Linked DNA regions of Lepisosteus oculatus. The protein of the gene in region 4 interacts with the protein of the main gene of each other region in a pairwise test. Links are inferred from orthologs where the notes say so. Each region holds a gene or a part of one and is shown on either strand. Other genes may lie near its edges. The genes, in order: bahd1, inpp5d, psmf1 and khdrbs3.

The links.
Region 1: the proteins of khdrbs3 (region 4) and bahd1 interact in binary tests that used the Homo sapiens proteins (3 or more experiments, as listed by UniProt). The two-hybrid records come from large-scale screens. The link is inferred for Lepisosteus oculatus from reciprocal best matches to the Homo sapiens genes KHDRBS3 and BAHD1.
Region 2: the proteins of khdrbs3 (region 4) and inpp5d interact in binary tests that used the Homo sapiens proteins (3 or more experiments, as listed by UniProt). The two-hybrid records come from large-scale screens. The link is inferred for Lepisosteus oculatus from reciprocal best matches to the Homo sapiens genes KHDRBS3 and INPP5D.
Region 3: the proteins of khdrbs3 (region 4) and psmf1 interact in a two-hybrid assay, tested with the Homo sapiens proteins (2 studies listed by BioGRID and IntAct). The link is inferred for Lepisosteus oculatus from reciprocal best matches to the Homo sapiens genes KHDRBS3 and PSMF1.

The regions. Positions count from the first base shown.
Region 1 is NC_090703.1:12,318,283-12,326,241, reverse strand, and holds the start of bahd1 (bromo adjacent homology domain-containing 1 protein), read left to right. Parts: upstream 1-4,947; 5' UTR 4,948-5,176; coding exon 5,177-5,201; exon of another isoform or gene 5,202-5,558; intron 5,559-7,959.
Region 2 is NC_090708.1:10,189,966-10,197,565, reverse strand, and holds the start of inpp5d (phosphatidylinositol 3,4,5-trisphosphate 5-phosphatase 1), read right to left. Parts: upstream 3,008-7,600; 5' UTR 2,882-3,007; coding exon 2,742-2,881; intron 1-2,741. UniProt on the Homo sapiens protein: Phosphatidylinositol (PtdIns) phosphatase that specifically hydrolyzes the 5-phosphate of phosphatidylinositol-3,4,5-trisphosphate (PtdIns(3,4,5)P3) to produce PtdIns(3,4)P2, thereby negatively regulating the PI3K (phosphoinositide 3-kinase) pathways.
Region 3 is NC_090711.1:643,253-650,373, reverse strand, and holds the start of psmf1 (proteasome inhibitor PI31 subunit), read right to left. Parts: upstream 3,014-7,121; 5' UTR 2,905-3,013; coding exon 2,776-2,904; intron 2,421-2,775; coding exon 2,268-2,420; intron 1,786-2,267; coding exon 1,703-1,785; intron 1,019-1,702; coding exon 824-1,018; intron 1-823. UniProt on the Homo sapiens protein: Plays an important role in control of proteasome function. Inhibits the hydrolysis of protein and peptide substrates by the 20S proteasome. Also inhibits the activation of the proteasome by the proteasome regulatory proteins PA700 and PA28.
Region 4 is NC_090705.1:35,523,919-35,530,926, forward strand, and holds the start of khdrbs3 (KH domain-containing, RNA-binding, signal transduction-associated protein 3), read right to left. Parts: upstream 3,008-7,008; 5' UTR 2,732-3,007; coding exon 2,641-2,731; intron 1-2,640. UniProt on the Homo sapiens protein: RNA-binding protein that plays a role in the regulation of alternative splicing and influences mRNA splice site selection and exon inclusion. Binds preferentially to the 5'-[AU]UAAA-3' motif in vitro.

The DNA.
Region 1 (7,959 bases), on a different chromosome or scaffold from region 4:
CTGGTAGTGTATGACACTGCAAACTGGGCTGATCCCTACAGCCCTTCAGTTTGCTGTTAGCAATCTGACCTCTGCAGGCTCTGGGTAATCTTGATCACTTGGCACTGTTGCAGCAGGTGATCAAAAGCCTAACCCCTTCACTGCAGGTCAGTGGTGGGTCCTGCTGTAACACAAACTGAAACCCTTTCAAACCGCGGCTAAGTCGCAGGCTTACTGACAGGTCAGCGCGCACCTCCTCCTTCCGACCAGAGCTTGTCTTCCTTCTGGTCTGACACTGTCTGCCTCTCAATCAAGGGCAACTTTCCTTTTCTGTGGCCATTCTAGGCCCGTTGCAGCCTTTCTTCAAGCTGTGTCACATGACTGTCTGGTGTCTTAGTGGGCTGGCATTACAGTTACTGTGCTTGGACCTCTTCCAGGATTCTGCCTCTGAAGCCGGTTCCCTTTTGGGGAAGACTGAGCAGACTCCTTGTTCCAGGTCTTCCTTTCTCTGCTTCTTGTAACAGCCACCAAGTATGGCACAGCAGCAAGCTGTTGGACTTTCTTGTCCTGTTGGGAGTCTAGGCTCAGCCTGAATTCCTCCCAGCCGACTGCTCTCTTACAGCCCCCTCGATTACACTCAGAGGCATTACTGATTCCATGGAGAGTCTATCCTACCAGCTTTGTTCTCCTCCTGTTGAATTCAGTACTTCTTATATACATCCACTGATGCTCTCCTTAGTCAGTAGGTGCACTGACTATTGCTGCTGGCTGGGAATTGATGTAATCAGATGGAATCCAGCGTTCAGCCGGCGCTTTGACCCTTGTCTGTAACGCCCTCCTGCTGGTGGGTCCACAGGGAAAGGAGTTAAGCTGGAGGGTGGGAGGAGATGAGCAGGAACTGGTTCTCTCTTGTTCCAGAGCCAGCATAAGGCTCTCTCTACTGCCTCTCCCAGCCTTCCAACTACTCTCTTTCTGTCCCTGTCCCTCCCAGTCAGCATTCTCCACACTAATTCAGCCCAGGTGTGTCGAATTCTGCAGCACCTCCCAGTCCCTCAGCTGCCAGCTTGGCGCAGGGCCACTCCATCGCCCACGATTTGAGCCAAGATGGAGTCAACTCATGGAGCCACTATCACTACATCACAATGATATCATAGCGATAGAGTGTAAGAAATAGTTGAAGATAAAGATACTGTAGGTTACAAATGAGAAGAGGGACGTTTTTGGCAAGTGTAGATCAGTGGTTACTGGAAGTGCATTGATCCAGAGATCTAGTGAGTCCTTTTTTTAAAAAAGAAGTAATAATCTAAACTTCAACAACATGATTAGGTAGCTTGCTCCGGACCCATCAAAAGCCTTTGTGTGTAAAAGGCGCTTCCCTGAACTCAGTTCCAAACTTATTTTCCTCATAGTTTCCATGTGAGCCCTCCGAGTTGTTCTGCTGAAGAAGTCCAGTGGGTTGATATTGTTAGCGCCCTTAAGGATTTTGAGTACTTGAATTAGGTTCCCTCACAGTTTTCTCTGTTCAAGACTGAGCAGATTCAATTTGTTCAGATTGTAAGGAGGAGAACATTCCTTTCAGAACATGAATGCACCTGGTCTCTCTTTTCTCTTATTTGGACTGATTTCAGAGCGTCAGCATTTTTGTAACATGGTAACTAAAGGAACACATTCAGCTTCATGCTGTAAAGGACCAGCACAGTTTTAGCTACTTTTCTTCCCATCAGTATCATTAGCAAGATAGATGAAAGTAGTAAGAGCCTATTAAAATACAGTCCAATCATAAAGATTAATCATTTATAAGGTGGAGGTTGTTTAAATGCTACAAATCTAAGCAAACTGCACCTTTCACAAAACGTTTATGTATTTTTTCATGTTTTGTAAAGCCAAAGCATGATTTCACAACTGTAAAAGACTGTATTTGTGTATTACGTTGCAATTAAATATTGAGCAATTGAGCTTATCTGCAAAATTGAGACAATAGTTTTTGGTGACAGTTTACTATTTTTTGTCCACGGCCTTGTAATGAGAATGTCTGTACATGTTAATTTTGGCATTATTTCTTACCTATGGGTTTAAACACATTATGAAATGCCAGTGTAGTGTAGTAGGCCTTTTAATATTAATTTACTGTACTTGTGCCTCGCTGGGACTGTAATATTCGCGAAGGGTAAAACGTCAATTGCTTTTTAGCTGGATTTGCGGCGTTCTATTATAGAATTAATCTAAGCCCTGGCATTTTTAAAATGATTAAATTTGGTGAAATGTGTGAATATAGTTTAGGTTTGTAAAACCGACTGTTAGTTTTTCATCGAATTCTGTTTTTGGTTTTATTTCCCCCGACGTCCGCTATTTTCTTTGTGTTCTGGGTTTGCTCCGCTCATGAGATCAGCTGCGCTATTGATCGCAAAAATACGCACGATTTAAGACAATGCTAAACCAAGGAGTGAAGTCGCAGGAAATTAATAACCACGAACGCTGCCATTTCAGATCTGTTAATGAAACAATTTTTCAGCACTAGTCATCAAACTTTTCTTTGCCTTTCTCAATAGAAAAACGCAGTTCAGTTTTCTGTATGCGATCAAATCCTTAGTTCTGGTCGGCTTGTTCCTGCCCCTTGGTGATCTACGCATGGGAACACTGGTACCATTGATATGCAGTATCTTGTCGTGTTGCTTTGTGGAAGTTATAATTTTGGCGAGATAATAGCTCGATTGTAAATTATAGGATTCTACTAAATGAGTCGGAGACCAAGACAGTGAAATTCGCTCAGCACTTTTCCCAGCATTTGACTTAAGGATTCCGACAATTTCAGGCACAGGTTTACAATAATACCCGTAAATATATTGTCTTTTTGAGCATGCATTACAGTAACAAGTGGGGCAAAACACCTGCCGTGAGTCATAGACCCTCTGGATATTCTGCTTGTCAGTAAACCTTATAGTCTGTACTTAACCTTTTTATGTCAAATTGATATCAGAGATTGCAGTTTATTTTTAAAATAGGGTATTCTTACACACATAACCTGAGGAAGCTGAAATCGGTTTTCAAGTTATATGGCTGCAAGTAGATACGGCCAAGATGCCCAAGATGTAGTTCTGTATGCAGTTGTCGGAACGTTGGAAAACGATTGCGATCTTGTTCAGTTACAATTAATTTATTAATCACGTTGTTACTTCACGACAAACGTGTTTCTAGACTGTATCCCTTTTATTGTAAACAGTTAAAACCACACCAAATGCAGAATTGTTGTATTTTTGTATTTATACAAATATAAGATTTTCAATTTTCCATGTGTTGTATAATTCCCATTCTTTGTAATTTGGGCCTTGTGTGTTACCTTCATTCTGTCTGACTACCAGCTCCTTAAAACAAATAGCCTGGATGTCGGGATCAGTACTGGGTGACAAAATCCGCACATGAATTTCATGAATTTCATTAAGATGAAGACGAATATGATTCCGATTTGTTGGGTGGATTAAAATCAAAATAAACCGACATCACAGGCAAATACAGGATTTTCAAAACTTCAAACGATCAAATCATTTTAGGGGACGCATTGGGGTCCGGCTGGGTTTTCCCTTAGTTGAAGAGTCAAAATCGTGAAACGTGGAATAAATCAGCTTTGATTCATCCTGTAAATTCTGATGATTCAGGCACCACGCCCTTCCCGTCAGTGTAGGCTTAACTCACGGAAACCTGCAGGTCGTTTAATCTGCGGATCTGTTGCTAGTTTTGACCAGGAATTTGCTCTTTGATGTCCTTTAAACAAATCTTATAATTGGCGAAAAAACGTTTTTTTTTTATTTTTCTATGTTGACAATAAAGAATGAAAAAACTTTTTCTTAACACAAGGATAACATCCAGTTTCTATGAACTGCACGTTAACACAAGGGAAGTGTGGCATTTTGTTTGAATCGTGGTGTTTTTTTTTTTACTTTACTGCATGCTAAATCATTCGCTTGATCACGCAAATTGTGACAGAATTCCTTTGTTCTCAAGCATGTGTGAAACCCAGGAGTTACTTATTTAAGGTCGTTGTTACTGCAGTTACATTTTTGAGACGGGTAAAATGTGTACAAGGAGTGTATTCTCCAGCCAGTTAAACGAAATGCATAAAACTCTTTACAGTTTTAATGCTTAATGCTTTACTAGACTAACAGCTTTTAGGTTGATGTGGGTATTGTACGGCTAATTAGAAATATGTCATGTCATCTTGTTCTAGGAGGTAAATTTGTGCAGGCGGAGTAATTAACAAAGATTTTGACAGCACCTGAATGAGAGTACTGAGGATTTGAGCACGGCCGCTTTTAAGAGGAAAGAAGTGCACCTGTGCATTTGTCTTCATTTAATTCACCGAACTACGAAAAATAAACCATTGATCGATCGTTTTAGATTGTTGAAACACAAGGGACTGCAAAGGGTGTAATGTGGCTCTTAACCATTATAAAAGAAAAAGATCTTTAATACCAACTAAAAGCGTTAAGGTTTCAACCTCAGTATTTAAACGAGTGAGCCACAAGATGTTCATTTCAAGCATTTCATTCATTGCTTGTATTTTAATTTGGGGGTATTGATCCCTAAAATACAAGTAGATTAGTGGTCAAATAATGTCAATTTAACGGTGAAACCAACTAATATGGCCTTGTTGCAGCTACCCTTGTTTCCTTTTAAGCTGTGAGGTGATCCGATTATGATGAAGATTATGAGGTTGATGAAGATGATGATGGATCTTGCACCATTGAGGTTTCTCCGCCGTGCGGGCGCTTTAAGGAACACAGAAAAGAGAGACCAGAGCCGAAGAAGAAGCCGAGCGATGGAGGGTGGATTCTAAAATAACTTGTATTAAAGAAGAGAGAAAAAGTAAAATGTCACGTTGTGATTGGCGGGTAGGGATGTCAGACGCTGTGCGTGTGCGGCCCAATTGGCCGAGATGAAGTTTTATTAAAATCAGAGCTTCTCCGATTGGAGCCCTAATCAGGAAGAAGGAATCGAGCTTCGTTTTGCACTTTTGGCTGCACGGAACTTTCAGATTAAAATCCATATAAAATCTGTCATTTTGACTCTCTTTCGAGGTTTTCCGATGGGAGGGACGCGGTAACTTTTAGCAAAGGAAGCACGATGATATCGGTGGATTGGATACTGTAACGACGAGCATCGCATTTTACTCAGCAAGGAAAATTCCGACGATCAAGGGGGAATGCAAAACGTTTTTTTTTCCGAAGGTACTAGCAGCTGACTGTGAAAGCGACAACTTAATTGTGCTACATCTTCATACCAGACCTTAACCGTTAGCTGCATGTGATGCTGGTATCTAGAAGCAACCAAAGTTAATGTATTTTAATTTAAAAGATGAGCCTTAAAATGCCAGGCTGCAACAGCAGGTTTCGCGAATGCAGCGCATGAATATTATCTTGAAGCATGCTACTTCGGAAGTAGGTCACCGTTTTATACGTCTTGTCAATTGTGAGATTTTTTTGCTTCACGTTACGAAGCAAAGAAATACCATAGCTAATCTGTTGGAAGAGGGGAGCAGAGCCATCTTTTCACATCCCCGCCGAAACTTCGTGATGTTTTAACAGGTAAAAATATAACCCATATTTTTTGTTCTTTTATTTGTATTTAAATATTTTGATCCACGTTGATATGTACTCTGGAGGCAATAGCATATATTTCAGAATAGCATTTGATAGAATGGGAGTCGATGTGCCTTTAAATTTTTTATGCATGTTTTATTGTGTAACCTTTAGAATTTATTAGAATCTAAAGCGAGTTCAACCAGTACAGTCCAATATACTGTACAGTAGATACTGAGAAAGTGTTGCTGGTCTTCATCATTTTAGCTCGACTTCAGCACCACAAAAAGTACATTATTCACCAGAGTAATCCACATAATTGCATTTGCAGTAATTGATGTATTTTCGATACGGTCAGCTGTCTGGTTTCGAACCGACTGTATGTTTGAATGGCATTTACATCATTCTAGGTCCTGGGTGATACGCGCCTCGTAGGGTTCTGGAAATAAAGAATTGGTTTTCTACGATCCGCCCAGCAGAACCGCTTCTGCTTCTGTTTTTCATGGTCATCTTAGTTTGAATGCATGTACATTATCGCTCATCCCCGAAATGCAAACACGACTGGACAAAACCTTTTCCCATCCCCCCGTTTAATCTTTCTCCCATATGTTTATGACTTTAACCTTCGTTACTTATTATCGACACCTGCTGAGAAGGAAGGCCGAGACTAAACAGTTACAGACACATGCTTTTCCTAGAAGCGAAATACTGTACGTCAGATTAAGGAAGGAATGACTGCTCTTTAAGTACCGTAGATTGCAATATGATCAGAGCATTTCTGCGTATAACTCTGTTTTATTCGCAAAACTATGGAGATTCAAGAGCAGAGTTTTAATCTATGTTTATTCTGATCTTCTGCAATATGTTTATTCTACGGTGAGTTGCTCGGAAACAAAAAAAATATTTTCTCTTTAAAACGGCACGTGTTAGTCCTACAAAAAGTATGAAATTTGAATAGTCGAAGTTATCGTTGCTTGAACGCGCGAACGCAATTATTCATTGAGATGATGGACGGCGATTTCATTTTTGCGTTTGTTCAGAACTCTTTCATACCACTTTTTCCAAATCTAGGGTTATAATGAACGTAATAAGCATACATTTACATTTTAACTGCGGTAAGCTGGTTCCATGGTTTTGTATACGCCGAATGCGGTCGGTGTCGTTTGATTGTTTAGTTTCTCAGGTGATCATTTGGTTGCAATTCTCCGTTCTCTGTTCAAACCGCGGTTTACAGTTGTGATAGGTAAATGATGGGCGAGTCGCGTGTCACCACATGCAGGAGCACTTCAGCTAGTCTGTCATGAACTGGGGAGGAGACCAAATGTAGTTCTTCACACCTTCGCAGAAAACGTACTTGGAAACTTTAAAAGCGCGACAAATGCTATTGGTTCCAATACAATGGACATTTGTTGCGTTTTAATTTCTCTTCGTGTCTAAGTATGATAATTCGCAAACCCTCAGAAACCTATGGTACTGTATATTTGCTCTTATCTGCACAACTACGGTACACCTCTTCATTCTCACGGAAGCCCCCAGCAGCTCTGTTAACCTGTAGATAACCTTTGGCTGCGTCTTTGCTGTGTTGCCTAAGGCATATTAAAGAGTTTTAATGGTTCAGTGGTCTTTGAGGCGAGACGTGTTAACATGTGTTGTAGAATAGCTGCTACTACTTTTACAATTATATTTCCTTGTTTCACCTGCAACTGTTTTGTGAAAAAGTGTTCTGCTACTGCACATCTGCTTGGCTTTGTAATGTGTTTTGTGCTGTGTGGGTTTTGTTTCTCCTGAATTATGTTATCACAGTATTTTTGTGGTGTTGAAAGATACTGAGTAGTTCATGATATTTGCACTGACCATGAGATATTCTCTCACAAATGTGGACAGGGACACAGCTTATTAAAGTGTTATCAGAAGAGATACACTAGAATCCAGCCTAATTTCTCATAGAGGTTACAGTTAAATATCTGGAGACCATTATCGTCCTGTTCTGATGAATGATTTGTGGAAGTGTATGAAGAGGGTTTAATATCTTGGCATCCTGAAAAAAATTAACAGTTAATGGAATGATAACAAATATCTAAACTTTGAGCCATTTATGTTGTGAACCTATATTCTCACTGAACAATTAATGCTGAGGTTCCAAAATACTTTATTTCCTTTTTTAACATGCTTTCAACGAACGGCAGATATCTGTCACAAGTTTGTTTTTTGCCATAAGATGTGAAAAGCAATAATAGACATGTACCAAATCAGCATAAACATGCCTTGTTACTGTCAATCAAATTACTTTGATCTTTGCTGCTGACAGACACAGAAATTTGTAGTTTTTTTACACTCTAACTATATGGACTTTTTTTTTTTACTGAATTCTTTCATGGTTCAGTAGATCAAAAAATCTTATAAAACA
Region 2 (7,600 bases), on a different chromosome or scaffold from region 4:
TAAAATGCTGCTGAGGAATCAGTTCAAAAAGAGAAAAAATATTTATTTTTAATTTAAAGGACAGAGTTAAAGAACTTGACTTTGTTCTCTCTAACAGAAAAAGGAGAACTGATTCGAATATGCTCTAAATATTGTACTCAAAGGCATTGACGAAGTGAATGCTTACAGTATGCAGGTTAAGAATTAATAGCGAAAAACGAGACAGAGGACGTTGTGGAAACTCTGGGGAAGTGCTTATAAAACTGAGAATGAGAGACACGTTTATACAGAAAGTGTTGTGGGAGTCTGGAACAAGCTTCCCAGCCACGTTATTGATTATAATCTGACTTATTTGAAGAAATGCCTGGATGTTATCCTTGAACCAATTAGACCCTGGGTACCAAATAACCTTGTTGAGATAAATGACCTTCTTTCATTTTTAACCTTTCTTATATTTTTACGTGTGTGTGTCAGAGAGATAAAGAGAAAGGTCATGCATGGATAATTGTGCATACAATATGTGGGTTCAGGTCAGATTGGTTGTTCAGATCTTGATATGTAATATTGTTCAACAAGCTCAAGTAACGCATTACAATTTTACAAACCTGTGTTAAAAATTCAACATCAGGTTAAAGATGGAGCATGAGATGGAACAAAATTGTATATCTATATGAAATATGAAAGCCTACAGCGATAAAATCAGAAGTTGTGACATAGAGATATACAACTGAAAAACCAATGCACAAAATGGAGCTCACATAAGAATCTTCATCAGGTAGATACACACAGTGTACCACTTGGAGCCAACAGACATGAGGAAGTACAGTATACCTCCACTTTATTTCTTGTGTCTTTGTGGGTACATCCCATCCATTCATTTTCTAACCACTTCTTCCACCTTAGAGATGTGGGGGAACCACAGCAAGCAGGGTACACCCTGGATAGGACACCAGTCCAAGGTTCATACAGTACATAAACATCTAAATCCTTTAAAGTACTGAGGTTTTAGTGAAACAACCTGCAGTACACTGAGACCACTGGACCAAGCTGCAAGAATGATTCTCTTTCTGAAGTCCAGAAATAAACCTTAGTAAGGGACAGCAGAGAGAGAACCTCATCTTCACATTCATTTTATGGGTGAAAAACTGAAGTGACACGTCCATGGCACTTTGAGCTAGGTCTCATTACTTTAGATGGCAATTACTCCTGATCAAGAGAAGTGAATGGGGAGAAGCCGCTGATCAGCAGAAGCTTTTGACTGCCTAATGCCATAGGCTGCAGTACAGTATAATAGAATTGTTGGAACTTTAGTTAAAAGAAGAATGATGCATTCTTGAATTTACTGAATAAGAAAATTGAAATGCGTTTGGGACTGAATGTCCTACATTATATACTATGGTCAAGGTTTTAAGCATTAATATTCTGTTCTGTGGTCTTGGTTTGCAAGAGCCAACGTGCTCTATACTCTGATCAAGGCTTCAGAAGCAGATGACCTACGTAATATATAATGATCAGAAATTTTGAAACAACTTGTAGTATCCAGCTGAAGCAAAGTAACTGTAACTAGTACCCAATGTCACTAAATCACAAATGATTTTGAAAAAATACAGAAAACAACCAGAAATTAAATTTTGATTGACACTGTTTGCCAGTTAAATTGTTGTAGCTTTTTATAAAAAGCTGAAAAACACGTTTCTGATTGTGTCATCACAAATGGAAGAAGCCTCCACATCTGAAATGTGTTATTCTTCTCTTTACCTTTCAGCAACCTTTACCTGGTCCTTTGTAGCCTACACATGCTGATGCAGATCCCTATGCCAACAACAGATAATGCCACTCTGGATCAATTTGCAACCTCTAACTATAAAAAAATGTCTATAGAAATTTTTAATTAAGCAACACATTACACAACAATTTTAGTGTTACATGAAAACCAGTCATTTAATCAATATGTTTGATGTTTTACAAGAGCTAAAACCAACTGACAAGATGTGCACTTTTAAACACTGTTAGAACGTTATCTGAAGAGAAAAAAATGCAAAACTGATGGTCAAATGACCAGCTACAAACTGATGTCATATTCATAACCTTTTAGAAATAAAAATATAAACCATCTTGGGTGCATTTTGCATCTTATATTGGTATATTTTCTGCGCTGTACTTCCCAATGTGCATATAAGGGAATCTAGTATTATTGCAAAGAAAAAGAAAAATTGGAGCCGAGGAATTCAGGCGATCCTGAATTCCTCGGATTATCAAACTAATGTGATTCTGTAACTGCAGCTGAGGCTGCAGTGAAAGCAATGAAAACAAAAGATTCCAGGAAGATCCAATGGCTTTAATTAAAGATATTAGTGCCAAATACAAAGGGGGTCTAGATATGCTTGCTATATCTAGTCCCGCGTACAATGTAAACTAATAACAGGTGAATCTTAATTTTTCTCTAGTCATGTTTACAAGGTTGTGGTCTCTTTGAACAAGGTTGAAGTCAATGATGCAGGAAACACTCTCACAATATTGTGTCAGTAACAGTTTCTTTAAGCTCTCTGCCCAGTTCAAATGGATGCCAAGGTCGACCCGGGGGTTATCACTAATTCTGTAAACATAAAAGGCACTAGATTGTATGGGTGCCAAGGGAGGGGTCGGTCTTTACTAATCATAGGCACTCACCCTTGCTCTTATCACCTGGGGGGTTGTATAAATTCACTATTACAATAAGAAACTGCAAAGAACTTGATAGACTTTAAAAAAGAACTACTTACAGTACGCAGAGGGCGTATGCTCCTGGAATAGATTCGCTGTCTCGGAGTAGAAAGCTACCATCCTTTGCTGCTTTGGAAAGCAAGTCCTCAGCTTTGGAGCGGGTAATATTACCATGGTACCAAGGCTGAAAGGTTGCCATTCCAGCCTCTGACTTTTTTCTGATGGTTTGGTTGAGTTTCTATTTTGTATTTTGAAGTTGGTTACAAAATACGCAGAAGAACGTCTGGGTGAATTCAGACCAGCTAGCTGGTTGAATTCATTTTGGTCTCTCTCTCTTCTCTCTTCCTGTTCAAGAGGCGAAAGCTGTTAGAGGAGGAAGCAGCCACAAACACAATTTTGAACTTCCTCATTCTCAGTTCAGAGCGAGAAGCAGCAAAAGAGCTGCAAAGCTTCACATCTTTCTTGTTCACACAAGTGTGAGCATACAGTTAGGTGGTAAAATACCTGGTAAAAACAAACTGCTATCACTATCAGGACAATAACAGGCCTTATTTCACATAATACCAATTCATACACAGGATGTGCAACAGAAAAATAGATGCAAACCAATTGTTTGTTGAATTATTTTGTAGAAATCTAAGAGTGTAACAACTCTTACATGAAACATTACTGACTTGTCTCTGCCATGATGGAAACTGATGGTTTAATATCCTCCAGGCCAGCTCTTGCATGAAAAGGAAGCCATGTGCCCCATGTGTTAATATGTCTGAAGCACCATCTCAAAGCACCTGTGCCATGCTTGTTTATTAGTGAAACAGTACATTTCAAGACCTCCCTTGTCTCAGAGCATGAAGATGATTCAATTATTTATTTTAGACAAACTATAATTTTTATAAATAATGGTTCATAATAAGGTAATAAAATAACATTCAAAATGTTCCTTTGGTTATGTAATTGTTCATTTGTTTTGTTTCAATCTACACTTCCTTCTGCAGCAAACATGGGGTCTTATGGTGAGTCACCCATATTTTTCAGCACCGGGCATGCATTACTTTCAATAATGAGTGTCTTGCTTTGCGACAATCAGAACCAGTAATCCAGAGAGGCTGTTAACTTTTTGGCTTCCCATTTGCAAGTAAAAACGACATATTGTACCTGCTGGTAAGGATTTTCACAATTAGGAACCTCTCCTGGAAATGTACCTGTAGGTTACAAGTGGGACAAGACCTCGAGCAAGAGACACCAGTCCATCGTCGGGCACGCATACACATGAACAGTTGAGAGGCACCCATGAACCACACACAGCTCTGCAAGATAAGAGGAAACAAGATCACCTAGAGGAAACCTTTGCAAGCCTAAAATAAACACCCAACCAAAAATCCTATGAGTGAGGCAACAGCACTAATTTCTATGTCACTCTGCCAACCTTATATAATATGTCATGTCCTGTTACTTTTATTTTTCTAATTCTGATTATATTGTTACTCTATGTGTGTCCTTAGAGTTCCAGCAATCAGCAGGGTCTTAGTAACCCTATCAAAGTTCGAGAGGAGGAAATAGCAAGGGGGCATATATTTATGCCACTGTACCTCTCTCCTTCTATGGACTTTATAGGTTTTTAAGATCCTATTTGTTTGCCCAATACACTTTCATAAAATGAATTTTAAGATGACTTAAAGTGGATGTGACTTTCAGAAAGAGCTGTTAATAAAGGCAAATAATGAACAGAAATAGCATCAGAAAATTAAAAATAACACTTAGATAAATATAAAACATGCATGTCATAAAAAGGGAAATTTCAATGCTAAAACCTTATACAATGTTCTTGCATTAGTGCAGAACCACAGAAGGCCTGTGACCCATCATTGTTCGTCACCTTCAGTTGTGTTTGAAGAGTAGCAGGAAGAGGACTGTGCACACACGTCATAGCCTTGAGAAATGTATCTAGAAAAAAGTAGAAAATGTGCAATGAAATATTCACCAGGAATAGATTGTGAGAGTTTCATAAACCCTTGCAAAAAATCTCAGAAGGTATGTATTTGCACTCTCAGCTGAATGTACATTTACTGCAAAGAAAGCAGATGGGTTAAACATCACAAAAACACAAACCAAAAAACAATACATCTGTCTGATGTTTCAAAGCCACAGTGACACCTTCTTAGGAGGTGACAAGAGATGCTGTGCAGAAGTCTTGTGTTCCGGTTTACGGAACTCTAATTAGAAACAACTGACAGAGTCAATGAAAACTCTATTGTGACTTTGTCCTTAGGCCTAGCCCAAATCAGAAAAGAATCAGCTAACAATACGAAATTATAAACCCGTGCTTGAGGATTTTTATTTGCAAGGGAGCTATTCCTTCTCAGCAATGGAAACCTGGCATCAGGGTTTGGAATTTGAGATGGGTGGTGATGGAGGAAGGTTAAAGGTTTGACAGTGGCTTAAAAATACATTTTTAATCAAGTTTGCCTCTAACTTGTGAAAGTGAGCTCTAATACTAATGTGTAATATGAACATGACTTTTATGGAGTTACGTAACTCTGTCCTGTTACTAAACTGTCCAAACAGAATCTAAAATTGCAGGAAGGATCTTTGTTAGATATAAACACTGCACATTCAGACTTCTGTAATACACTAAATAGCACTGGTGCAGATGCAGGATACCTAATACCTGTATATTTACACCCACTCACACAAGTAGCAGCTAAAGTAACTGAGAATATCAAGACGCTTGGATTGTTCAATGTATCATTTTCACATTTAGCTAGATTCTCTGGTGTATTCTTAGACAGGATCCCCCCCTCTCTACAGCCCACAGCTCTGAGGAGAACATAAGAGGATGCCCTGCATTTTCAGAAAGTGCTATGGACAGGAAGTGTTGCACAAACCCAATCTGCTGACATACCACACTTTGAGTCACATGACTCAAGAAAGTCCAAGTCTCATACACACATCTAAGTCAGGGGATTTCCACCCTCCACTGCCTCTCAGTGTTGTGTCCCAGCTAATATGCCACTGCACAGACTGAAGACACAGCATTTTGTAACAAGTATCAGCAATGCAAATAGTTCCCTCCCGACTGCTCAGTTTACTCAACTGCATTCATTTCAGTTGATTATGCATTACAGATATGAATCATGCTGTTTGTAAAATGTGACCTTCCAAAATGAAACTTGAAGACTGAATGTTGGAAAATAAAAAAATAAGTGAATGAATCGAACAATGCAGAACAACAGTATATTGTGCACAGCAATTCTGTCTAGATATCAGGAAGTAGACTGTCAATCTGCTGTCCCGATCGCATACACAGCAAAATCACGTGCACAAATAACCGGGAATGTAACATAAATTTACCAAGAATTTGTGGTGTCTGGATATTACATATTTTAAGTTTCTATGTTCTTTTTTCTCCAAAAATGTATTCATCATGAAAACAAACATTCCATAAAATTGGCATCTGCCAAGATTTGTCAAGGCCAAGTGCAGGAATTTGCACAACAGAAACATTTTAGTGATACTGTAAGCTGGGGGAAGATGCAAAGTGGAAATTAAGTGATAAGGATATTTATGAGCATTCTCAGCGATTGGACAAACTTCAAGCTTCTACTTAACAAAGGTGATTTCTTCATGAATTTGTAGTCAGAGTCTTGTATGTATTTAACCTAAACACAACAACAGGTTGTGATCGCACAATAATGTGTGCAGCAAGCATGAAATGAGTTAGTGTTCATTAAATAACTGGCTCCTTTAAGCTTTGTGTAATTCAAGAAATTAAGAAAATACCTAATATAAGGATTATTTAAGATCCATTTATAAAATCAAAGAGATAAATATTACCTTCAAGTTTTTCCCAGCAGTCCTCCATATTCTTTGGGTCTTCTTTCTGGAATACAGAATGTCCCATTTGTGTGATACAAAAGATTTTGTGCAAATCTGTTAAATAAATGCAAGAAATCACACATAAAGCAGATAACTATGATTATCTATGGTTAATGGATTTTTGAGAAAAAAAAAGTATGTAATACCTAAGGTGTTAGGAGTACATGACTCATTAATTTGTTTAGGGAGTGGAAACGCTTTCTTTAAAGGTGAAATAATAATAATTCATAATAACTGCTTACACTTATATAGCGCTTTTCTGAACACTCCACTCAAAGCACTTTACAGGTAATGGGGACTCCCCTCCACCACCACCAGTGTGCAGCATCCACCTGGATGATGCGACGGCAGCCATAGTGCGCCAGAACCCTCACCACACATCAGTGGGGAAGAGAAATAAACCTCCTGGGTAAGAATTTTGATTTGTTTTTGCATTATGTTATTTTTAATTTGATTCAGCATTGCTGTATTGCAGGATTTTTGATTATTTTCCTTTCAAACGTGTAAATACATGCACTTGCACAAACAACAAGCCCAATAACAATTCAATTATTCCAGTTTAAGGTCAACTTTCTTACCTACCATTTGGTTTGTCAGTCTGCTACTTCCTGTGTGCAATCTCTCTTCTCAGTATCTGCTATCACGTCTCAATTTCTGCTAGTCACTTGCTCCTGCTTTTTACTTGCCTTGTTCTGAGCTGGAACCAGATCCCTAGAAATATCAGGACTGCAACATGTTTGATCACCTACTGGTGCCTACTCAAGACTTTATTCTTCATACTGCATTATATATCAATGTCATTGCTCTGCTTTTCATTGTATTGTTTTATGTAATGCAAACTTTATTTTTAATGTTTAGTATTTTAATATAATGTACATATTTTTTCTATGGTTGTTGTATCATGTAATAGTATTCACTAGTTAATGTAAGTATTAACTATTTGTTATGTATGCTTACACATTGATATTCTCACAAAAATGTTTTAATACATTATATCATAAAGTAGAAAAAAGGTATGTTTAGCTACAGTCTTGCAAAAGTA
Region 3 (7,121 bases), on a different chromosome or scaffold from region 4:
CACACACAGAGACACACTCACCCCTAAGGCCAATTTCCCCAGAAGCCAATTACCCTACAAGCATGTTTGTGGACTGTAGGAGTAAACTGGAGCATCCAAAGGAAATGCATGCAAACAAGACAATTGAATCCAGAGCCCTAGTACTGAGGCAGCAATGCTAAACACTGCACCAGTTGAAAATGTACTGAAAATTACTACTAGCCGGGAATTGCCCCAACACACTCAGTTCACATTCACTACATCATCAGAGCAGGCTATAAAAACTGATAATTGTTTTTTTTGGACTTCCATGTGCCATACAGGAAGATTACAAACAGTGGAATTTCAGGCTCCAAAAGAGCCTTAACGGAGATGAGGGTATGTCTCAGCCAAATAGCTTCTTCACTCCAGGAAAAAGTGTCTAAGAGCCGCTATCAGTAAAGGCTTCATCAATCAAACCATAGTCAGAGAAGCCCATTTTGTTTGTCTCAGCTCTGGCCAGAGAAGCTTGTAAACCACAGAGTGATTACAGGCTCCTAGTCACTCTGCCTCACTGCAGTATGCGTCAGCTCAACAGGCCTGCAGCCCTGCACAAGCAGTGTTACACAGAGCTCGACGAGCCCAGGAAGACTCAGTCACTCCCATGTGTAAAAGCACGAGTGCAAACAGGCTTGTGACTAAGGCAGGGAAATTGGATACTATACCGTTTGCTGTTTTCTCATCAGCACTATGGAATGGAGATCGAACCGTCATTTACAGTGCATGTTTTTTTGCAGTTTTGTACAGTTTAATAGCTCAGCCTTTCGGAGCAACGATTGTTGTAGCTCCCATCCTGTGGCCCTACCAGCTGGGCTGCCGGTCAGAACGAGGAATTCTCTGGGGGATCCGGAGGGGGTCTCTGTCGGGCCACAAGCATGGAGGACTCTCCCTCAGGCCCTTCTTCTCTGCCTTCTCACTGGGCTTAGTCTTCTGTTTGGAGGCTGAAGGAAACAGCCCTGATTGCACCTTCTTCCTCAGCTCTTCAGTGTTCTTGAACACGCTGTCAAGACAGGCAGTACATCACAACCAACACCACATCAGCCCATCACCTGCTGACACAGCTCCTACGCTCCTTGCTGAAGAAGACTAAACATTTCTACAAATGTACTACAAAGGGACTAGAAACACTCACACCATCTTAACAATGAACACTTTCCTGGATTGGCAACTTGTTTTGTACTCACCACACTTTGCTGCTGAGACCAGATTTATCAGGACACTTTGTGCAATTCTCCAAAATAGATAAATGCACCAAAGACCAGCTGCATGTTAATATCAACATTCTTGCAACAGGCAATTCACAATCATAGAAAAACATATTTCTATTTGTAGCACAAATTAATAAAACCATGAAAAATACCATGCTGGAAAAATACCAAAAAGTTAATGTTTAAAGTCCTGAATAAAATTGTTATTGATATTGGATTTGCTACAATTTTGTCATTTAATGTGTCTTGAGTGCAGGGATAAAAACAACTTCTGCTTGATTCTTGCTGCGAAATGAAGTGATTTTGATTTCTTAAAACGAGTTGCCAATCCTTTCATAGCCCAACTCTGAGTCATTAGATGGCAGAGATAAGAGTGTCTGACAGGCAATAAAGAATCTCACTTAACACACAGAGTTCAGTCCTGCATGACTCTGCCCTTTTAGCACAACACGACAGCCTAGAGACGTTTGACCCACCTCTCGAATACCTGGAGACTGTCTGCATGCACATAATCACCAAGGCTCACTGTCAGATCAGACACACGTCCTGAAGCTGACTCCTGACACAACAAAGACAGAACAGAAAAAAAAAACCATAATACTCTCCGAAACAAAGCTTCTCAATCCTTTCCTTTCAATCAATTTCCTTTCACTTGGATTTTATTCCATTTGTCTCCACAATATAATGGAACCCTGGGATTAATTATTTTATTAATTAGAACTTCCCAAATTAAATAAGATAGAAAACTGTTTTCCAGTGGTCTACAAATAAGAACCCATTTCAGCAAAAACAACTAGAGCACTCATTTCTGTCAGCTTGAGATTCGTTATGGAATCAAGTCTCAGGTCAGCTCATACCTGCTTGCGTGAAATCCTGTAGCTGCACACATTACTCAGTGCAAGAGTACGGTAACGAGTTACAGACAAAAGCCTTCACTACTCCTCAAGAAGAAAAACACACAGAAGGATCAGCAAAGTTGAAGTAGCCGTGGTCAGTCAGCGAGTGAAGATACGCTGCAGTAACGCAGCGAGCCGCACGTACCAGGACGTTGAAGATGAGCGTGGTGTCCACGGTCACGGCCTTGACCAGCAGCTGCTCGCCGCTGTCGCCCGACTGGTACCTCAGTGTGTACAGCTCGCTGCTGCTGTTCCACCCCGCCGGCAGGAGCTCCGACTGCCGGTCGCTGCTACTCGGCTGCAACGGTCACACACCCATCACTACCCCACAAGTACGACAGGTATCAGACGGGCATGACGCACTTCGGAAGAGTGCCAGTTCTGTCTGCCAGACAACACCGCGCTATTACCAGTATTATATTTTCCACTCTTGTGTTTTTCTTGAATGGCGTCTACCGCAGAAGATGTGATCTGGAGAGCACATCAAATACCACCGCTTTTAAACATTTTCTAACCACATTTTGATACCCTCCCCACAATAGCAGCTGACAACAGTTACACCCCTAGACGCGTACAGCCTGCACTGTGCTCCATCCCTGAATGCGCATTGCTAATTCAGCCAGGTAAAAGTGAACAGGTACCTCCATACATACCTGGTCTCCGACGCCCAGGCATTTGTACCCGTTTTTCACTATCTCCCAGTGCACAAAACAAACCAGGGCATCCTGGGGACAGGCGATGCTGCTGACGACAGAATTATACAAGAGCTCCAAACCTGCCATCTTCAACGAACGTATGCACCGACACAACGCTGAACCGAAACACAAAAGCGAAACTGCCAGGCATCTGTTTTGCAGTCCATCGCGACTGTGTCCCACTGCGTTGAAACTCCGAGATGGAAACACTTCCTGTGTTCATTTTAGTTCCGCCCGGCAAATGTGGCATATTCAGTTTCTTTCAAAAACGCTTCCCGTGTGACTCGCAATATTTTTCCGAGGAAATTGCCAAACTTACCCGTAATAAATGAAATATAGCTAAAACAGACGTTATCCTGCTTGTACGTGCTATTTAAAATTTAATTGTTAATACATTCATTCTACCTGTGAACGCGCTATATTTTGTTTTCTCTTGTTCCTTGTTCAAAACATTTATTCTCTTTTTAAGTGATTTCAGATTAAATTTAAATTATATAAAAAATAATTTTCTCTCTTAATGACTCGTCATTTTTGCATGCAATACAGAGCAGAAACCACAGAGGGCAGTGTTCGCTCATGCAACGTTGACCTGCAGCGTTGAGCGTTGAAGTCGTGGTTCTGGAAAATGAGACCATATGTAATGCACGCTAAAGTGGTTTTATTTATATTTAAATATTAAGAAATACTGAATTTGTATAATTATAACGTATTGAACTTGGATATAATGAAGTCTCTATCAGTTTTGAAATTATTAAATTGTAGGATTTTTAATATGAATGCTTTTAAACCAATATTCATGACCACCATTAAAGCCGATGTCCTGCCTGAATTCCACCCTGTATCAGTGCGAACCAGCCCCACTTTTCACGCTTAAATCACCCGGAGAAACAGCTCCTCCCCCATCTCCTGACCTGCGGAGTTTTTGCCCGGGTGAGAACCGCACTTCCCCGGGTCCCGCCCCACCCGTGAATCGCTGTGGGGTCCTCCGGGATGAACAGTGAAACACGAACCAGAGGACGCAAGTGGGCATTATGTGAAAGCGCATTTAAACCCGAGAACCGGAGTCACTTCCTTACACGAACGCTTGTGGTGGTCTGGAACGAGCTATCCAGGCATGCTGTTGTTGTAGCTGATATTCCTTCATGAAAAAACATGGAATAGGATAACTACACCAGTTAGCTGCTGAGAAATAACAAATTAGATAAACAAGCTGAATGGTCTTCTTGCATTAGAAACGGTTCTAATGTTCTTCTCCTGCTATAGGATTTGTGGCGCCACATGGCTCATTGTCTCCCTCTGGTGGGTGGTTTTAGAAACGGTCAACAATGGAGTCTGCATGTCCGCGTGTGTCTCCTACCACCATCTACGGGCATGCAGGCTGGGCTGATTGGGGTCTATACATTTTTCAAAAATAATATTCTTTCCCCAATTTTAAAAAAACCTGGAGTATTTAAAATCCCTGATTTTTTAATATCTGGTAACATGGACTCTATAAATAATAAGGATGCTTTTTAGTGACTGGACATGTGATAGCTCAAGTAGGCAGCTGCATCAGCATGTGTAGGCTGCAAAGGAACAAGTAAAGGTTTATTATTAGGTCTTCTTTGGGACACACCCAAAGAAGGCTCTACAGCCGAAAGGTTGTGTTTCTTTTCTTCTCTTTACAGTATGGAATAAACCTTCACTTGTTCAGAAGTGATATGTGTATTCTTTGAAATAAATTAGCATTGACCCTTGCTTGAGGCCCTTTATTACACAGGCATGCTGTGACGGTGATTTAGTAAGACCAGAGTCTTGTATAACCAGTGGATACACTGGGGAGCTTGTAAGACACACAGGTTTTGTATTTCTAACCACATACTAATAAAGAAGACCCTGGGCATTCAGTATCATTAATGAAGCATTGAAGGTGCTGTTTATTATCACTATTTTTAGGACATCAGAGAACAACAGTGACACAGGGGCCCAGTGGAGTGCCAAAAAAGGGTTTAATTACATAAACAGGGATAATCAACACTATTAATGCAGGAGCTTTAGCAATGACATGAATGTCTGTGGGCTCTAGCAGTAACAGTGGTGCAAAGGTATCCACCACTGAAACAAGGTCAGTGCGCAGGGCTCCAGGAGCAGTGTCTCCTGCGGAGGGTGGGAGTGTGCATGTGTGCAAGAGGCCTGAGCTCCAGAGACCAGGCCATGACAACATGCACAATTCACGTACAACCCCCAAGCAGACAATAAGCATGTTACGTAAGTAACTGCAAAGTTACATTTCTCTGCAGTATAATCCTACGAAAGCTGAAAAAAAATCATTAAAGAATGTGGTTTCTAATTTCATCACAGGCTTTGCAAACTTTCTGAAATCTCATGGAATGATAATAGCAACATCTGTTTCCTCTTTCTGGGATATCTAAAACACATTTCACAGAAGTTCATTTACACAGCATATTCCCATCAACTTTGTCTTCTTTGTTTGCACAATTAATTAACAATATATGGTCTTACTAGATCACTTGCATGACTCTGCCAGCCCCCGTGTGCTTCTGGACATGAGGACAGGCAGGTCCTCCTTGACGTGTGGAAGGAGCTCTGTCTGGGAGACGGGTCCGGAGCTGAAGGAGGCCTGGCCTCCGGGATCCTGCCCCAGCGGAGCAGCCCTGGGGAGGGCGAGGTGACCTGGCACCAGCCCATCACGCCTTCCAGCCGTGTCAGAGCCTGGCTGCCGCCCAACTTCCTCTGCAACCGCAGCTGTGAAACATTGGCCATGTCCAGAAACCATGTGGATCCTCCACTGGCGTGCGGAGGACCTCCACATTTTGCTTTAGTCTGTAGGAGTCCTTTACCTCCTGCACACCTCTGACCACAGGAGCACGAGGCCAGGCAGCCTGGCACCAGGTTCACAGGTGCTGCGCGCATCATTGGAGCTGCAGCCCAGGACACACACAGTGCAGTACCATTAAAACTCTCCTGATGTTAAACATGTGTTCTGGCTAAACACAGTGATTCTGTGTTGTATATAATGGCACCAATGAGTGCCTGCTGAGTCACCTGATAGCGGCTTCATCGTGAGAATGGGAGACCCATCTAGCTCATTTGGTTGCTATTACCTCATTGCTCAGGTCATCCCATGATGAAAGCGAGGGTGTCAGCTTGTTCCAGACCCCTGAGACTCTTTGTGTAAAGTGCCTCCTGGTTTAGGTTCTAGAAGCACTTGCCTAAGTTGCCCCTGTGTGCTCTGCTTGGTGCTTCACTGTTGTCCAGGAGGATTTTGAATACTGAAATCTTTCACTGTGAGGATTTTGAATACTTAAATCTGGTCACTTTTTTTCTTTTTGAAATTAAAATATTTACTTCTTTTACCTTTTTGCTCCTTTGAGCCTGGGAACATACCTGCTCGATCTTCTCTGGCCTGATTTCAGAGTAGCATCATCGTTGTTGTAAAGTGGTGACCACAGTCGAGCCCAGTCTTCTACTGTACATGATGACTTACCAATTAAAGAGAGCCTTAAATCACACTGCAGGAGGGAGAGACAGTCCAGGACATGGTTTTAGCTTGCTTTTTAGTTAGAGTCGGGCTTAAAATAAACCAGGCACTTAAGGCAGGACAGAAACAGGTTGAGTTAATAGGTATGAAGTCAGCCTTTCTCATGCCCTTGTGCAGTTAAAGCTGCAAATTTTTTTCAGGCAGTGAGCAGCTGGCGGAGGATCCCCGGCTCCCCGAAACCTGACCTGCTGGGCCTTCTGCTCTTCTCAGGCAGTGTCCATTTTCACCTACTTCCTCTGTGCCTCTGGACACTGGAGCACGACGGGTGACAGCAGACGGCGGCCTGCCACAGTAAAATGAGCAGTCCTGAAACAGAAGTGAGGCGCAGGCGGCACAAAGCCAACCCCACTGACACCTCCACCCCTACACAGCACAGCCAGCGCTTCGCTCGCCAGCCGGAGAGCCGAGGGAAAAGAAATGCCAGGAGTCGGACTATGACCATGCCTGAACTGCTGTTCCAGAGCCCTCACGCGGAAGAGAAAAAGAAAGTGAAATAAAAGGTTTCCCCCCCGAACATTTTTGTCCCTGCGAACCCGGTAATGAAAACACATGTGCGAATCGTTAAGGGTTTAGAATGTAATGTAATATGTAAATAAAGTAATTCTATATTTAGGACGGCACTTTTTTTGGGGATTTTACTGATGTGAATCCAGCTGTTATCTAGTGGTTCAATAACAAACATTATGTCGGATCTTGAAACTATTTGTTTTTTGTAAACAGTACAGTAGCGCTAATCTTCACAAGGCCTTCTCTTCACTGACTT
Region 4 (7,008 bases):
AGGAATGTGAAATCCAGAAAAATGCAGATCTTAGGAATTTAATTTTCCAGATAAGAAACAAAGTATAGAATTCTTTTGAGATGATGACCATGCATGGTGCCAATACACAGAATGCACTATATTGTGTAGTATTTTCTGCAACATAGTAGTTTGAATGTACATGTGATGTACTTGCTAATTGTTAGAGGGTATATGTAATAGTTATAGATATACAGTAGAGATGGAGGGCTTGCAATAAAACATTAAAAATAAACATATCTTAGTACTTTATGTACATTATACATGTAAAGTTTTATCTCAGTTTTATCTAAATTATGTTTGCGTGATTTCACTTTTTTAATTAGTGGTATTTTAAGACTATACATATTTTGACTACATTTAATACTTACCTCTGATGACAAAAAAGTGATGAATCCTGATAGATTTATAGTAATAATATGTACTCACATACAGTATCACAGCTTTGGGATATATGTTATAATTATATATCACACATAGTTTGTGTTCTACACTACAATGTTTTTATTAACTGGTGTTTTTAAACAAAAACAAGTATGTCAGATAAAGAATACTTTTGTTTATATATTCATTATTTAAACTGAACTCAGGTTTAAGTCTAAATTGAAAAGCATGTACTGTACTTACAATATCTTAGAGTAAACTGAATGCAATAGGTCTTCTGAAAAACCAGCATTTTACCACTTGTCTGTATCAGTGATACAAAAATGAAAATAAAAAAATGTCTGTGTTGGAAGGTACTTGTCAATGTTTTGTGTGCCTGAATCAAGTGAATCTTTCTTTTGAATACAATGACATATAATTCAAAATCTACTTTCTGAGTAAGTATGATACAGTACTGTACATAGAGAGAGCAACATTATGAACTTGAATATGAATCATGAGAAGGGTGATCTGAAGTCGATTGTTTGACATGTCTAAAGGAACCTAACTTTGTCCTGGCAATTGTAATTAACAAACATATCCTGTTCATGCTCCGAATATAAACATACTGTATGTTATATCTGTTTTCTTGCTAGTTGGTCATCTGTCCACATGGTGCTCGTGGCAAGCTGTTAATTACTGAAATCAATACAAATGTCAGACACTGTATAGCTTAGCATATCCAGAATACAAGCCAAAGCCAGTCACTTAAATCTGAGAAGACAATTCACTTACACTTATTGCACAGTGAACAAGTTGCTAATGTTTTTTCTTACTTAAGTGCAGGAATTTAGAAAGTCTTAACAGCTTTAGGCATGTTATGGTACACTACCTGGCACTATGTAAGTAAAGGGCATATTTTACTCTTATCTCTAATGATAAGTGAATAATATCAAAAAAAAAAACATGCCGTCACAACATGAATCATTATGACTAGATATTATTACAGTATGAGAAGTAGTTCTTTATGACTTGGCAAAGTGGTTTTATTCTAATGTTTTGTTTGTGAAAGTTCTATTGTTCAGGCATAAATATTAGTAAACAAATGTAACTCCTCTTTTTCAGTGATACCACTGCTTTCTAGGACAAAATACTCTGATGATAATATTATTGACATCAATTTTGTTTGAAAAGTAACAAGAAAAACAGAGCTCATTATTGTTGTTGAAACTTAATGATGATAATGTAATAAATTATATTCAATAATACTGGAGATGTGGTGAATGTCAGACGTTGGCCAAAATGTATTAGTATTAGTTAAATCTTAGTAAGATTTGGGTTCTTCACCTTGTGATGAGAGATTAATTTAAAACTGTAAAATGTTCTGGTTTGGGGGATATGGGACGCTTTAAAATATGTTGTTGGTAAGAAATATGCCCGCACCATTATCGTTTTATTGGGTTTATTGTTAAATAAACGAAATACAAAAGGTGATTGCCTATTAACAAGAGTGCTGTAACATACTCCAGTCAGCGCTTCCTCGTCACAACAAGCAAAGTAAATGATACAGTATTTATGATACTGTCTGCATTCGGCACATTTAGTTATGTCTCCCAAAAAGAGACAAGCTGAGATGTGATGGAAGTAAGGAATGCTGAACCATGAAATATTCAGGTATCCAACAATAAGCGTGGAGGCAAACTGTATTTAAAATGCAATATCTCGAAATTAATAGTATCTGCATACATTCTTACCTTGCAGTATCAACGAAACACATTGTATGTCTTCGTTTATAAGACCTGGCTATTTCAAAACTGCTGTAATTTAACTGCACTTGATTATAAGCAATAGTAATAGTATACTGTAGTAGTAATAATGTTTTTAATATTCCAGTTTACTCGATCTCTAAACCAGCCAAATGTTTACCGGTGTTGTTATACTGTACCTCATTTCTTTCTGCCATATGTGAAAAGTCACGTTTTGAGAAATGCACGGAACTTGAGATGCTGCTGGAGGTAAACAACATACTGTGGCTATACAAGCCTAAGTGCTTTCAAGGACAGAGATAACAGAAAGAGCGCTTAGGGTTGTTGTCCATCCCTGACTGAAAAACTTGAATAGCTGTCCGCGTAAGCACTCGACTGTTGCCTTAAATGTTATCACACTTCTCATACTAACCACTACTGCTAAGCAGAAGACATCCGAACCGTGCCAAATACCGTGACAGGTAAACTAATACTTATTCTCTCGGTTATTTACCTTGATTTAAAAGCCGCAGAGAATGTTGAAAAGAAGGGTCGAGGGAGTCCTTTTCTGCCATCAGCTCCGGCAAATACTTCTCGCTATCCATTCCTTCTTTCCCTTCGGTCCACAAACGGATCAGTTGAACACAGGTCTTGAAAGAAAAATCAAAAGTAGTATTCCTCTTTAGCTCAGTTTCCCCACGGAAAAAAAAAATAATTAAAAAGCAAAAGAGCAAAAAAATAACTTTATTATTATTCAATACAAAAATTACAACATAGCAGTGTTCTCTGTGTTTAACGAGAGTGGTAATTGTACACGGGCAGTTCTGCTCAAGTACAGTCCCGTTATCCCATCGACAGCGAGCACACTTTGAATACAGCCTTCCCAACCTCTAGATACCACTGTAAACAGGCTTTGTACAGTAGCTCCTCCCGTTATTTCCACAACCAGCGCAAGGACATCCCAACACCAGCCTCGATTGGCTGCCGTTTGAGCGGACCTACATTTGTTCTTGTAATTTAAATGCCAATCAAGACACAGGCGGGGAGTGAGAAAAAAAAATATTGATTTAAACTGGCAGAGAGAGCCAAAGGAGTTGTCCATGGTCCTGCACTGGACTTCAAGAGGGCGCTTGAAGTCCGGTTCAACAGATTTGGACGCCCCTTTTTAAATTTTAAACTCATGTACATCGGAGAAAGTGTTGAACAGATAATATGCAGGTGAGATATCACCTCAACCATGTTTTTCTATTCACTTTTGTAGATGCACAATTTTCTGCATTTACATTGCTTTGCATTAAGTATAATGTACTGTATACAGTGTATACTGTATATAATGTGTTGAGATATCTATAAGTATAAAATTAATAAAAGGCTACATAATCCAGATTCAGTCAGTCTTATCATTCATAGTCGGTTTCTATGGCACAATATGTGAGGTGGCTTGGACAGAAAATCAGATTTATTTTTTCTGCATTTTTTGTTACTGTATAAATAATACCCTGAAACCTTTGAGCCCCAATGTAAGAATGTGTTTTGCTGTGCCAGAGAACAAGACAGACATTCAAAATTACTTGGGAACCCAGTACATGTGGAGTCCTATGAATGAGATTACAATGTTTATTTTCATGGTAAACAAATCTAAAAGGATTCTAGCCTTTTTTGTTGAATACATATCATATACTTAAATTCAATACAGGAAATCAGCATGTTATGGTATTATCATTCTCCTTCTGATTTTTTTAAGGCACATGTGTCAGACAAATTACTACAGGGGTAGCTGGGTTGTTGCAGCCAAGCATTCATACTGTACAAACATTGCTTTTTAATCATTCAACGTCAGCTCTTGCTGTCATTGTGAAGCAGAATTCACCAAACCTAGGATTGTTCACCCACTAACAGGGAACATGACCAGGGCTTAGACTGTCACGAGAAGGGATAGTTTTGCAATACTGATGATGTGTTCTTGAAATAGTAGTCCTGCTTGGTACTGTATGAGAGGGACCACAGGTTCTGGTACATGTGCTTGGCACTGGCTGAGGAGCCAGTGCTGTGAAACTGTGATTATAACTGAATGCCTCTAAGCCAGAATCCTCCTTAAAAGGTCTCTTGTAAGCTTTAAAATCCCCCTAAACCTCAGGGGTAGACTTTTGGCCGAGTGGTCTTGAATTTTGTTTGAGGTCTGAGTGGCTAGGGTACTCCAAGGTATGTATGTGACATCAGAACGAATCTGGGGTCCAACTGATAAGCTTATTATTTTTTTTTATCAGTTAAATTTCTTTCCAAGTGGCATTTTAAGCTTTACTCCTTATCTTTCAAAATATTATGAACTGTTGTAAAGCTAAAATGGAAGCAATACAAATTAATCCTCTTTAGATTTGGGTTGCTGTGACTCAGTATGTAGCCATTTAGCCTGTGGGATAGGATGAGCTGGTATCAAATGCTGTCTTGAGAACATGTGTAAATGCACTTATCAAAACAGATGTCCTTGTATGTTATATGAGAATATTCGGAGAGAAAATGAAATCCTACCAGGGTATATTGAGGCAATTCTCAGAAAAAATACATAATGGACGTATTGTCAAAATGTACTTATGAGTTGGATGTTTATCAGGAAAATGAAATAAATAAGATTTAAAGGAAATACTGCAAAATGGTACAAAACATACAGTATAATATAAAAGATGATAAAACAAGAAATTAAAAAAAACATTTTATTTTCACTATGTACCTTATGCCGTATATCTTCAGCATTGTATATTTTCTTCCGATACTTTACAATCTGAAAATGATAACAGTCCAGATTACATTCAACACATTTACCAACACAAAACATTCTTTCCTCTGGATTTAAAAGAAGGCTCAGGCTTTCTTTGGATATAATTGAGATGAACATCAATACTATAGTATGCTGTACTATACATTATGTATCAAGTTGATACTATGCTGTTTTTTAAATAATGATTCTAAAATAAACACATACAGTACTAAAATGTTGCATTTTGTTTCACTTTGAAGTGCTCCTTCTGAAGAAGAAAAATATTGATCCTGGTAATGTTTTCTATGTCCTTAAAAATACTTACTGTATGTTGAGATATACTGTAATAATAAGTAGCCTGTAGCATATCCTAGGTATGGATGACTGACCTGCTACTTTATCCTAGGTCAGTAAAAATGATTAATGTATTACCTTTCATCAGTACAGAAATAGTGAAATTATGTATGCTCTTTATATATTTCTAATACAAGTGCAGTATGTCATATTAGAAATGTGCTATTACTCAACAAGCTGTATTTCAATAATAAACTTGTAACACATGATTCTGAGCAATATCTGTTCAGAACTGCTCCTGGCAGTTGTTTTTATTTTTATCCCATATTTCCGAGCAGTGTATTTAAAGGGGCTGCCTGAAAACTTACGGCTTCTGTCGTTATCTTTTTTGCAGAGCAAACAGGACCTGTATACCCAATAGCCCAAGGGTTTTGTTGACATGAAGAATTAAACAAAGTATCAGTTGGTTGTAGGTTTGATTCTTTTTTGCATATTGTCGAAAAGCTGAAAAAGGATTTTGGAAGAGACAGATGTAGCAGTCATAGAAGACAAAGAATGATTTATATGAGCTGGTCATTAAATAGCTATGTGATCTCTTGAGATATGAGATATGGAAACAAAATGCTGACTCTTTTAGACTTTTTTGTTGGATTTTGTTTCCATTTAAATATTAAGCCATATCAGAAGCCTGGTTTGTACAACAACATCTTTTCCTTTGTGTGTAAGAAACCCCAATAACCTCCAAACCCTTTTAAATTTAGGTGTATTTTGAACAGTGTGAATGTGAAAAACAAGTCACTTTCAGTTACTTCTAAAGTACTAAACTGAACTTATCATTTTTTAGAAATATATATCCTGAAATATCATAAAGTATTCGACATCTTCATTCTAAACTAAAACAGAGACTGTAAGACATCAACTCAACTCTAGTTGAAAATGCCAAGTATCGTAGAAGACATTGTAAGTGTAAAAGCTAGCAAACAGTTAAATATGAAGGAATTACAATTGATTGAAACTTATTGTACATAACAATATCTTCCTAAGCACATTGAAATGATGTCTTGAATGAAAAATGACACATACTATAGGAACATCCTGCAGGACATTTTGCACTGAATTGCTTATGGGTAAGGTCAAAGTTGACTTATGACTGCAGGTTTTTGCAACCAAAGGGTCATCCTGATTTGATGTCAGAATAAAGTACTATCATCATTAATAGGTTTCCAAACTATGATGTTTGGCCAATAGGGACATCTGTTCTTTTCAAATTTGTACTTTTGAACTTTAGGGGGAAAATACCAGTCATAATAAAAATGATAGAATCTCAAAAGTAGTAGCAATATCTTTTACACAAAAAGCATTTTTTTCATCACCTCCCAGCCAATACAGAACCAATCAAAATTCATAGAAAGTAATAGTAGTTGAATGGTCAGGTTATTTTTTAATTAAATTAATATCAGGGTAGGCAAGGTATTACATGTTTCTGAGCTGAATATTAACGTTTCTGTGAACTGATCTGATGTGGGCAGACATTTACACAAGTTTAGTTTTTGCATAACCATACTGTATGTATTAAAGTCTTTAGAGTATTACAGTCATATACGGCACATGTCTTACTTACCCTAAATCTATCAAGTCTAATATGATGTATTGTATACAGTATGCTGTAATCATGTATATCTGGGCATGATTGGAAACACTTCCATGTAATGTATTTTAAAACAATTGATAAATAATATTTTCGTTAAAAACAACATTAATTGGATGTTGGGGTGTTTGGAATAATCACAAAAATAAACAAACTGTTCTGTTGTCAAGTTTCAAAATAAGTAT